Linked DNA regions of Arabidopsis thaliana. The protein of the gene in region 2 interacts with the protein of the main gene of each other region in a pairwise test. Each region holds a gene or a part of one and is shown on either strand. Other genes may lie near its edges.

Evidence for each region.
Region 1: the proteins of QQT1 (region 2) and QQT2 interact in a two-hybrid assay, tested with the Arabidopsis thaliana proteins (one study listed by BioGRID).

Annotation. Positions count from the first base shown.
Region 1 is NC_003075.7:11,570,805-11,575,666, reverse strand, and holds QQT2 (P-loop containing nucleoside triphosphate hydrolases superfamily protein), read right to left. Parts: upstream 2,879-4,862; 5' UTR 2,740-2,878; intron 2,419-2,739; 5' UTR 2,379-2,418; coding exon 2,349-2,378; intron 2,173-2,348; coding exon 2,052-2,172; intron 1,953-2,051; coding exon 1,726-1,952; intron 1,617-1,725; coding exon 1,326-1,616; intron 1,239-1,325; coding exon 1,033-1,238; intron 956-1,032; coding exon 691-955; 3' UTR 522-690; downstream 1-521. Other genes in the region: DER2.1 (DERLIN-2.1), read left to right, coding at 1-47, 140-322; TOM1 (tobamovirus multiplication 1), read right to left, coding at 3,504-3,596, 3,670-3,747, 3,834-3,887, 3,995-4,058, 4,165-4,210, 4,330-4,402, 4,669-4,740, 4,832-4,862. UniProt on the Arabidopsis thaliana protein: Small GTPase that is essential for the correct formation of the tangential divisions in early embryos. Associates with microtubule during mitosis and may function in the positioning of the division plane.
Region 2 is NC_003076.8:7,404,089-7,409,334, reverse strand, and holds QQT1 (P-loop containing nucleoside triphosphate hydrolases superfamily protein), read right to left. Parts: upstream 3,306-5,246; 5' UTR 3,138-3,305; intron 3,114-3,137; exon of another isoform or gene 2,753-3,113; 5' UTR 2,749-2,752; coding exon 2,657-2,748; intron 2,350-2,656; coding exon 2,305-2,349; intron 2,230-2,304; coding exon 2,150-2,229; intron 2,060-2,149; coding exon 1,985-2,059; intron 1,896-1,984; coding exon 1,792-1,895; intron 1,705-1,791; coding exon 1,548-1,704; intron 1,456-1,547; coding exon 1,368-1,455; intron 1,269-1,367; coding exon 1,196-1,268; intron 1,119-1,195; coding exon 988-1,118; intron 878-987; coding exon 826-877; 3' UTR 583-825; downstream 1-582. Other genes in the region: NAC090 (NAC domain containing protein 90), read left to right, coding at 1-58, 151-411; VAMP714 (vesicle-associated membrane protein 714), read left to right, coding at 3,681-3,900, 4,008-4,198, 4,367-4,530, 4,866-4,956. UniProt on the Arabidopsis thaliana protein: Small GTPase that is essential for the correct formation of the tangential divisions in early embryos. Associates with microtubule during mitosis and may function in the positioning of the division plane.

The DNA.
Region 1 (4,862 bases), on a different chromosome or scaffold from region 2:
TTGGATTCTCTATCCTTGTTGGTGCAAGTGCATGGGGGGATTTTCTGGTACGCTATCTCTCCTAATTCGCTTTCACATATATCTTCTTCCCTTTCTGTGCATCATCATCCTTATCCGTAACCTTTATCCAAATTTATAGGGAATGATAGCGGGCCACGCATACTACTTCTTGGCATTTGTGTATCCCCGAATGACGGATCGACGTCCCTTGAAAACTCCATCTTTCCTCAAGGCCCTATTTGCTGATGAGCCAGTCGTGATTGCAAGGCCAGAAGATGTGAGATTTGCTCATGCGCCTTTTGATGAAATCCACCAAGACTGAATCTTGATCCTCCACAAAACACCAGCCACAACGCACAGTTCAAGTGTACTCAGATAATGTTATTGACTCTTGACCTTTATAGTTGTGGATAATGTGGAAGTGAGATAGTGTTGGCTCTGATTTTTTTCCCTAGTTTTCTGTCTGCTTTTCTTGTCCGATACAAATGTGTTTCCTCCTTGTGCATATGAACTCAAATTGTGTACAAAGTCTTCAAAAGTGCTAGTTTATAGTTTCGTCATTAGATCATTAGACAATGTCTCACAAAGAGAATCAATTCTTATGTTTTAACTACACAACTGGGACAACAAGGGAAGGACGCAAACAAAACCAGTACAAGCGTCTTGATAAGCCTGGTCTTTGAGTTTAATTCATAGGTAGTAATGCTTCGTCTCGTCGTCTTCATCATCCTCATCTATGGCATCATCACTGTCTTCTTCATCTTCAACCTGAAAGTCCTCATCATCCTCCTCTAGCATCATCTTCTCTGTTGCATCTCTGTCTTTCAAACCAGTGTTTAAAACCACAGTGCCTCCCTGAGAACTCTCCATATCCTTTCTTAGTTTTTCCATTTCATGTTTCTTTCTTTCTTCTTCCAACCGCTCCTTGTCCGCCTTTCTCATGTCAAGATCAGCCCTGAAGTAAAACACAAATCATGAGCGTAGAACTTGCAGACAAAAGAGGGTGAATTGAAGAGAAGAATGCATCATTACTTGTAAGTTTCCATGTATTCCTCAGCACTTGCTTCAATGGCTTTAAAGAAGCCATCCATTCCAGCACCAGAGATTGCAGAAACACCAACGGATCTTATGTTACGGTAGAACTCGTAGAGTGAAAGGGAGAGACTGTTAGCTAAGGTCGCCGTGTACGAGTTATCAGACTGAATCGCTGCTTGAAAGACCTCGAAATCTTCCATCCACTGCATAAAACCAAATCAGTACCAAAGGATTAAAGAGAAGATATTACAACACAATAATAATAAAGTAGGCAATTAAAGAAAGTTAACCTCTAAAGCAAACTTGTGATCTGCGACATCAGTTTTGTTGAAAGCCAAGACAAGAGGCAACCGAGTCTTGTAGAGAATACTACAAGCGTAAAGCATGTTGCTCATAAAAGTGATTGGGCTTGAGGAACGGGGAGTATCAACCACATAGGTGACAACAGTGGGGAAGGTTGAAGCGAAAGCTTCAGTGATTATAGCCCCAGAAGCAGACCATGTAAAGATCTCAATCTGACCAGGAGTGTCCACAAGAACATAATCAAGCTGGTCTGCACGTTTCTCAATCACAGAGACAACCTAAAACAAGTAGCAAACAAAGACAGATCAATCAATGAAAACCGAGAGAACTAACACAATGTGAGAAGAAATCAGTAATCATCTGGACTAATTCCAGAGGTATGTTTACCTCGTCGAATTTAGTAGCAAACAAGTTGAGTGAAGTGAGAATTCCACCATTAGGACCCAGATTATACTGCTTCATAACTTCCTTGTACTTGACAGTGTCTCTTATATCGATGTTGGCACCAAATGGTAGAGACATAACAGCAGGGTCAAGGTTCACCACATAACCATGGCTCTTTGAATCAAAAGTATGACAGACCAAGCGATGAAGAAAGCTAGTTTTTCCACTACCTACACATATAACAAACAAACATCTCACATGATCAAACTAATGAAATCCCTTCACAGGAAACCAAAACTTAAAACATTAGTGAGAAATGATATTATTACCTGCCATTCCAACAACGATAATAATGATAGGCTTCTTCTTGAAATTAGAAGATGAACTCGCAGCACTAACACGAAGCTTGTCCAATGAGTCAACCAGCTTTTGACTCTCTTCAACAATGTCCTTTTAAAAGTAAAAACAACAAATACAATTTCATTTCAGAGGTTTTTTCATTTGTTATTTTACAGTAACTTAGGCTAATAAACACCATCTAAAACAGTACCATGATATCATTTTGATTGTATAAGCAGATAAACCAATAGTAAAAGCCATTAAAGTGACAGAGATGAACTCATCACCTGTTCACTAGACGACTCCATAGGATCCATCAGTGGCGAAATTTGCTTTTTTCTTGTATGAATCTTTTATCTGCCAATAATCCCAAATACAGCAATTTCAGTGTCTCCATCTCCCAAATTGTTGTTCTATACAAAATCTTTATATATCACAGCAAAGACAAAGAATAAAGAATCACAAAGACGAATCCAATTTTCACAAACTTAACAATTCCATGTTTTTTTAATGTTTCATCTATGTCACTAGTTTCAAGCTCAACATACTCCAGAAAACGTAAAGAGTTTGATAGATTTTTGTAAATTGGAACTAGAATTGATTCGATAACCAAATGATATGATTATTCAACACAAGCGTAACATGTGGATTCGAGCATATCAGCACACAAATTCATACAAAATTTTCGTCATTTTTACAGGCTAAAAAAGCAGCGAAACTCCAGAAAAGAAGAAGAGAATCAAGAGGAAGACGAGAGCGAGAGAGAAAAGACCTCAGTCGTCGAAGAAAACAAAAACAGAGTTAGGGCTGATTTGTGGAGTTGTCACTGTAAAATCACATATAAATATTAATGTGAGCGACCATTTTTGGAAAATCAGGTCCAAGGCCCAATAAGTTATTTCCAGCCCATGTAATACCGAGGTAATGCAAATGATTCTCAATTTAATCATTTTATGTTGTGTAAACCCTCTTTTTGCTTGGTTTTCTCGGTTTACGTAGTTTCTTTCTTCACTGGGACTTAGTTTTATGGAAAAGCTTAAGTATATACAAATCATTAGGAGAAGAAGATGTAACAGTTGACAAAAGCATAAAGGAAACTGGAGAAGAGCATTCGTTTATTTTTTACCAAACATAACATAACAATCAACCATCGACGCAACAAATGTTAAACCTCTTGTACTACTGACCAGATTTTTCAAAGTAGCAGAAGAGCAATTTATAATTTTAACAGACATAAACTACCAAACCAAAAGTCACGGCGGGCTACAACAACTAAAAGCTGTAAAATCATTTATATGAACGTGCATTCCAAAAACTCACGCAGATTCCACACCGATTTCTTCTTCACCTTTCATTTTTTGCCCCAATTTTTTTTTTAATCTTTACTCTTCTCTTAAACAGCATCATACTCACCGTGTGAGATGGTTCAGTGACAAAGGTTTCTACTGGATCGGATGGTATTGAGCTGATACTCTCTTTGGAGGTAGCTTTCGGAGAATGAAGAGGACTAGTGCCGATGGAAGTACTTCTACCACCTGTAGTTTTTTTTTTTTCGAGTTAATGAATGAGAATAAGAAAGAGAAAGAATGAAGATGTAGTGTTACTTACCATATAGTAGATTAAGTTCAGAACCGGATGATCAAGAACATCAAGTGTTAAATCCTTGTCAAAAGCTGATACAGCCACCTGATGTTTGCATGGAATACATTAAATAACACATCACAGGATAACTAAAACAATGACGGAAGCTAAAGATTTAATTTTGAGCTTACCACAACGCATCTTATGAGGAAGCAGGTGAAGCATATAGCTGTCACAGATCCAACCTGCAATGAAAAGAGACGAATATTTGAAGGTAGAAATGTTTGGGTTCAAAGTTTTATGGAACTATATAAGACAAATTATTCACATACAGATATATGAATCTAAGTACCTCGTGGAGTTTCTTCCTTCTTCCTTTTGACTCGATAGGGAACCTTCTTAGCATGAAAAACAATCTATGGCATAAAAAAAAACACATAAGAAAAGACGGCCCAGTAAAGCCAATGAAGAACTTGCAGACATTTTGATGATGAGACATATGAAAATAACAAAAACACAGACCTTCCTCCATACAGCAAGAAGCCTAATGCGGCGATGAAAGACACAACTAGAAGAAGAAGATTAACCAAAAGAATAGGTCAATATAGATTTTAGATAAGAGAGGGAATATTATAGATTAAGCAGTAAAGGTTTTAGCAAACTTGCTTGACCAGACAAAGAACCTACCTGCGATAAATATCTTTCCAACTAACTCCACAGTGCTGTTATCATGTACCCAGATGTATGCCCAGATACCAATCTGATAGAGACATCAAATACATGTCAAACTTATTCTACATCTTTTGATTCACCTAAAATGTCTAGTGACTAAGGTCACACAGATTCTTGGTAGCAAAGAATGGTTACAGAGTTAATGAAAGAAGGACAAGGTAGGAAACACGCACAATCTACAGTTTCGAAACACCAATAATTGCAAAAGATGTATATAAATGGATCTCAGGAAACTCAGCAACTACAACATAAACGGGAATTAAAAAAAAAAGAAGCTAAAAATCAGATATGAACCTGAGCCAAATATACAGCCACGTTGACAGAAATATAGGTTATCCGCAGCTTATCTGTAGGTAAGCTTCTAGCCTGCTCATTAGTGGCAACAAAATATATACTCAGAGCTTGTTGGCAGGTTTAAAAGACAGTCAACACACATCAAAAATTTCTTTTTAGGTACCTGGTGATATATCTCTGCCCAGAACAGCACA
Region 2 (5,246 bases):
GAAAATGAATGAGTACCACGCCGTTGACGAAACAGTCAACGCTTCCACAATCCCTAAGGTACTTGCATATAATTAAAAACTTTTAAATTAGAACATTCTTGTTACTTTTAATAACGAGATTTTTTGTTTTTGCTTTCTTGAAAAATGTAGCTGAGACGTGAGTTCAGTTTATGTCGAGTCTACATAACAACAGGAAGCTCCAGAGCTTTTGATAGACGTCCTGAGGGAGTTTTGCAGACAGAGAGAATGCTAACAAGTGATGTTGCAGTAGCTGAGACATCGTTCCGTGTGGAAAGCTCACTGGAAACTTCGATTTCAGGAGGAGAACATATTGATGTCTCTATGAACACAGAGTTTGTTGATGGACTATCAGAACCGATGTGGGACTGGGAACAGCTGACTTGGCCTTGAAGCTATATAGATTTTATAATCAAGCAAATTTAAACTTGTTTCAATTGCTTATTGTTAGTTTGAATTTTATGACCCGAAAGATTCTTTTTCTTTCTTTACCTTGTAACGTGAGAATTTGAGAAATAATAAATGACCTAGACAGTGACATTTGAGATGTTTTCTAGAGAATGTTGGAGTCATGGGCACGTGTGATTCAGAAACTCAAAAGTCTAAAGACAAAATTTGGCAGAAAGTTAGTCGTCTGGAAAATTAGCATAATCCAGTGAACCAAACCAGGAAGTTGTGTAAATCAATGTTGTTTAGACTTAAACCGAACTCAAAAATACACAAAAAGGTTCATACAAACCGTCAAATGGTTTGGTTCAGAGATATTTTAAACCAGCTCTCTTCTATATAAAGTTTCAAGCACTGTTCTCAGTCTTGTATTTCCTCATCTTCCATGTACTTCTCCTGTACAGCTGCGACTGTGAAGACTATCGTCAAAGAAACAATTCTTTTGTAGTAGACGTAAAACTAAACTCAAGAGTTATTGAGAGAAGTAATGGTTAAGAAATCCAAAATGCTAAAAAAGGATATCTGTTATAATCCCAATCAGTTTGACCAATTGCAATCTTGCTGTATTCAACCACACTTGCATCAATGCCGGCAAATATGTATCCATTGCTCTTGTCGATGAGCTTTACTAGATCCCCAACACTTTCTTTATCCTGAAAACAAAAAAGAAAATTGCGAAAAGATGCTTGTACAGAGAGAAAGAGAGAGAGAGGTAAAGGAAATCGCAAACCTGAATATCCAAGGTTGTAAAATTAACAAGACTGTAATCTTCAATGACACTACATAGCTCTTTTGTTAGTTTTCTGCAATGAGAAACATCAAGCTCATGAGATATTGAGCATGCTTCTAAATGGATAATTATTAACCGTTCAATGTGTATTCAGATGATGTTTACATCGAACCTGTACTTAGCAGAGCGAGGATCTTGACTAAGATGGTGCTCCAAGTATGACAAGTCTTGAACATCGGTATAGAAATCTAAATTGAAAGCTACATGCACAGAGATCCTAGTTAGTGAGTCCACAGTATACATTTGAAAATTCGATGTTATGAGAACAAAACCATAGATAGATTATTAATACCTAGCTTCCCGTAGCTTCCAATCAGATCGATTTTAGACAATACATTGACATGTGGGAGTTCCATGTGAAGCATTGTGGATAAGGAGAGAAGTAGCGAACTTACGTAGTTCCCGGGATCACAACATAGATGGGAATCAATTAGTTGCACAGCAGTTAACTGCAGAACAAAGAAATTCATCAGATATGTAGACTCCTAAGTAAGGTTCATTTAGCAAGTTAGTAATAAGTGAAGTAAAGCACATACTCTAAGGTTCAATGATTTAATCAGCTTCGTGAGAACATTCTTGGTACTGTCATGAATGAAGAACAATTCCACTTGGCCAGGAAAATCAAAGAGAATGTAATGATCTGCAAACAATTCAAAACGTTTTACTTTAAGAAAGAGATATTATGACCACGAAAAGAAGAAGAAGAAGAAGGGACATATCGTTGCTAACCCTTCAGAAGAGGCTTTAGTTTAGATTCCAGCCAGTCAATGTTTTTCTCCAAGTACTCCATACAATATACAAGACCTGTCACATTAGAAAGTTTCTTTGTTAATTTGACCAAAGATTAAAATCAAAAGTAAGAAGAAAAGGGAAAATCAAGATGGCAAAATTCACCTCCATTAGGACCAAGCGAGTGTTCCGACATAACATCTTCTAACTTGATCAATTCTTCTATATTCACACCACACTCATAACTAAAATCAATGTCAAGAAACAACATACACCTGCAATTTTTAACAATTTTGTTGTATTTGGCTTGAAAAGGATACGGTAATGCATCATTTGCAGGATCCAGATTAACAATAGCAACCTTCCTGCAACAACAACAAAATAGTAACTCAACGTTAAGAGAATTTACTTACAGAGAAGTTCTCACGAATCTGCAAATCTCTCTACCAAAAACAAAGACAAGGCAACAACATTTCACAATGACTCTGCTCAAAAGTCAGACAATTCAAATTTCTGGAATTCAACACTATTATTTACTAAAGTTTGCAACTTGTAAACTTTACAATGCGAGGGACAGCGAAACAATCAATACAAACAGAATTACAGATACAAAAGCCAAGTAAGCTTCATTCTTTGATCCAAAAAGAGAAGAGAAGAGAAAGAACATGAAACCTGCCCATTAGAGAGAGGAACTGAGACATTCCATTGCAATAAGTGGTCTTTCCCGATCCTGGAGGACCTATTACTACTTGTCCAAACACCATGCTTCTGAAGACGAAGAAGAAGATTGATACCAATCGGAGTCAAACACGTTGTATAATATCAGAGCCAGTCAGACAAAAAAACACAGTAATTGCAAAGCAAAATCATCTAATCATCAAACTAACATAACATGAATATTCAATAGAGAACATCAAAACCCTTCTAAACACTGAGCTCGTAGCACAATAGAAATCGGAAATGTCATTTGTTCGTCGGACACAGAATACAAACACAATCCTCCAATATTATTAACCCAATTCCTAAACCTCGTTTATAATACAACAAACAATTCACTGGAGAAAGAGAAGCAGAGAAACAATTTGCTTCAAGAGCATATTCATTATATCAGAAGCAACTGGAGACACAGAAGAAAATAAATAGAGAAGCTCGCCTGTGTAGTTAGCCGGAGAGAGAAGCAATGACAGGTCTGTTTGCCGGAGCAAGAGAAACTCGCAGCCGGAGACTCGTCGAAGACTCGATTCAAGGCGAAGTAAGCTCGCCGAAGACTCGATCGGTATATTTAAATTAGGGCTTTAATTTTAATTCGGTTTATTCGTGCTATACTCGAACCGAACCGGATAATCGAAATTAAAAAGAAGGAAACGATCAAGTTATTATTGGAGTATCCGAACCCAAACCGAAAAGTGAATTTCGGGTCGGTTTGTTTTCGGATAAGTTACCAAGGCCTAATAAATTGGTAAACCGTAAACCGATGCATCAGGGTTTAAAATGTAACAAAATAATATTTTAGGTGACAATTAAAAACGTAACAATAAAACAAGGGGTTATATTCGAAACGTTTGCACCTAACCTTATAACTTCGCATTTTTATACTCTGTTCTGATCGCAGCAAAGCCGACGTTGAACTTTCTCGCCGCCGGAGCGCGTGATCTCCACTCTCTGTCATCGAATCACTCTAATTGAAGATTCTCCGATGGCGATTGTCTATGCTGTTGTAGCGAGAGGTACCGTGGTATTAGCTGAATTCAGCGCCGTTACGGGAAACACAGGCGCCGTGGTGCGACGGATCCTCGAGAAGCTTTCACCGGAAATCTCCGATGAAAGACTTTGTTTCTCTCAAGATCGTTATATCTTCCATATTCTTAGATCTGATGGTCTTACCTTTCTCTGTATGGCCAATGATACCTTTGGAAGTAAGTATTTTTCACTTTCTCCGAATCGTAATCTCTCTTAAGAAGATTTAGTCTTTGTAATTGATTCTGAGTTTTATGTTTTGATGTGTTGGTGATTGGATTTTCAGGGAGGGTTCCATTTTCGTATTTGGAAGAGATTCATATGAGATTCATGAAAAACTATGGCAAAGTGGCTCATAATGCTCCAGCTTATGCAATGAATGATGAATTCTCAAGGGTTTTGCATCAGCAGATGGAGTTCTTCTCTAGTAATCCTAGTGTTGATACTCTCAATCGTGTTAGAGGAGAAGTCAGTGAGGTATAATTGTTTCTTCGTATGATCTCTAGATATTACTCAGCTATATCCATTGAAAAGGTTGAATTTTTATGAGTTATTACGCCTTCTTGGCTCACACAGGCTTCTTTAAATCTGTCTTGGGTGAAAGATGAAGTTTGTTATCTCATTGTTGTGTTATCGTGTTTACAGATTCGATCGGTCATGGTAGAGAACATTGAGAAGATAATGGAAAGAGGTGATAGGATTGAGCTTCTTGTTGATAAAACAGCAACAATGCAAGATAGCTCGTTTCACTTCAGGAAGCAATCTAAGCGCCTTCGCCGAGCTCTTTGGATGAAAAATGCTAAGCTCCTGTAAGGATCTCTCTCACTTCTAGATTCTCTTCATTCCTTTTCTTTGCTAACTAAGAGATACGCTCTTCTACATTCTAGGTGTTTCAACTCGCCTTTGCAGCATAGTTTATTGATATGTTTCTTAAACTAGAGATACAGTAGTTCTAAGATTCAACATTATTTTCGATTTTGGGAAATTCTCCTCGACAAAATATCTAATTTTTGGCTGATAGGAACTACACTGCCTTGATTCCACCTCTGCTTAAAGAAATTTCATTATTGTTTTGTTTTGATGCTTGAGTTCCAGATCACTTTTATTAATCAACAAAACTGCTTTTCTTGTTTGTGTTCGGCAGGGTCTTGTTGACATGCTTGATAGTTTTCTTGCTGTACATAATAATCGCATCTTTCTGCGGAGGAATCACTTTACCATCATGCAGATCTTAAAATCTGGCGGCCTTATCTAAGGTATACTGAAACGGACCACTGTTTTTGTAAATCAACTCAGTCGCATCATTTCGATTTGAAGCCTTGGTTTTGTCATGAAAATGACTGTGAGTTTGAAGTTACATGTCATGGTCCTCCTTGCTTATGTAACTCTTGTAAATGTCAAAATCAAAATGATACAGAGGTTCATTGAACTCTTGCCTTGTCTTTTAGATTTAGTCACGTGAGTGAGTTTGTTCTCTGTATTTCCAAAACTTTATCCGCTGTGTCTTTATAATTTTTGCATTTGC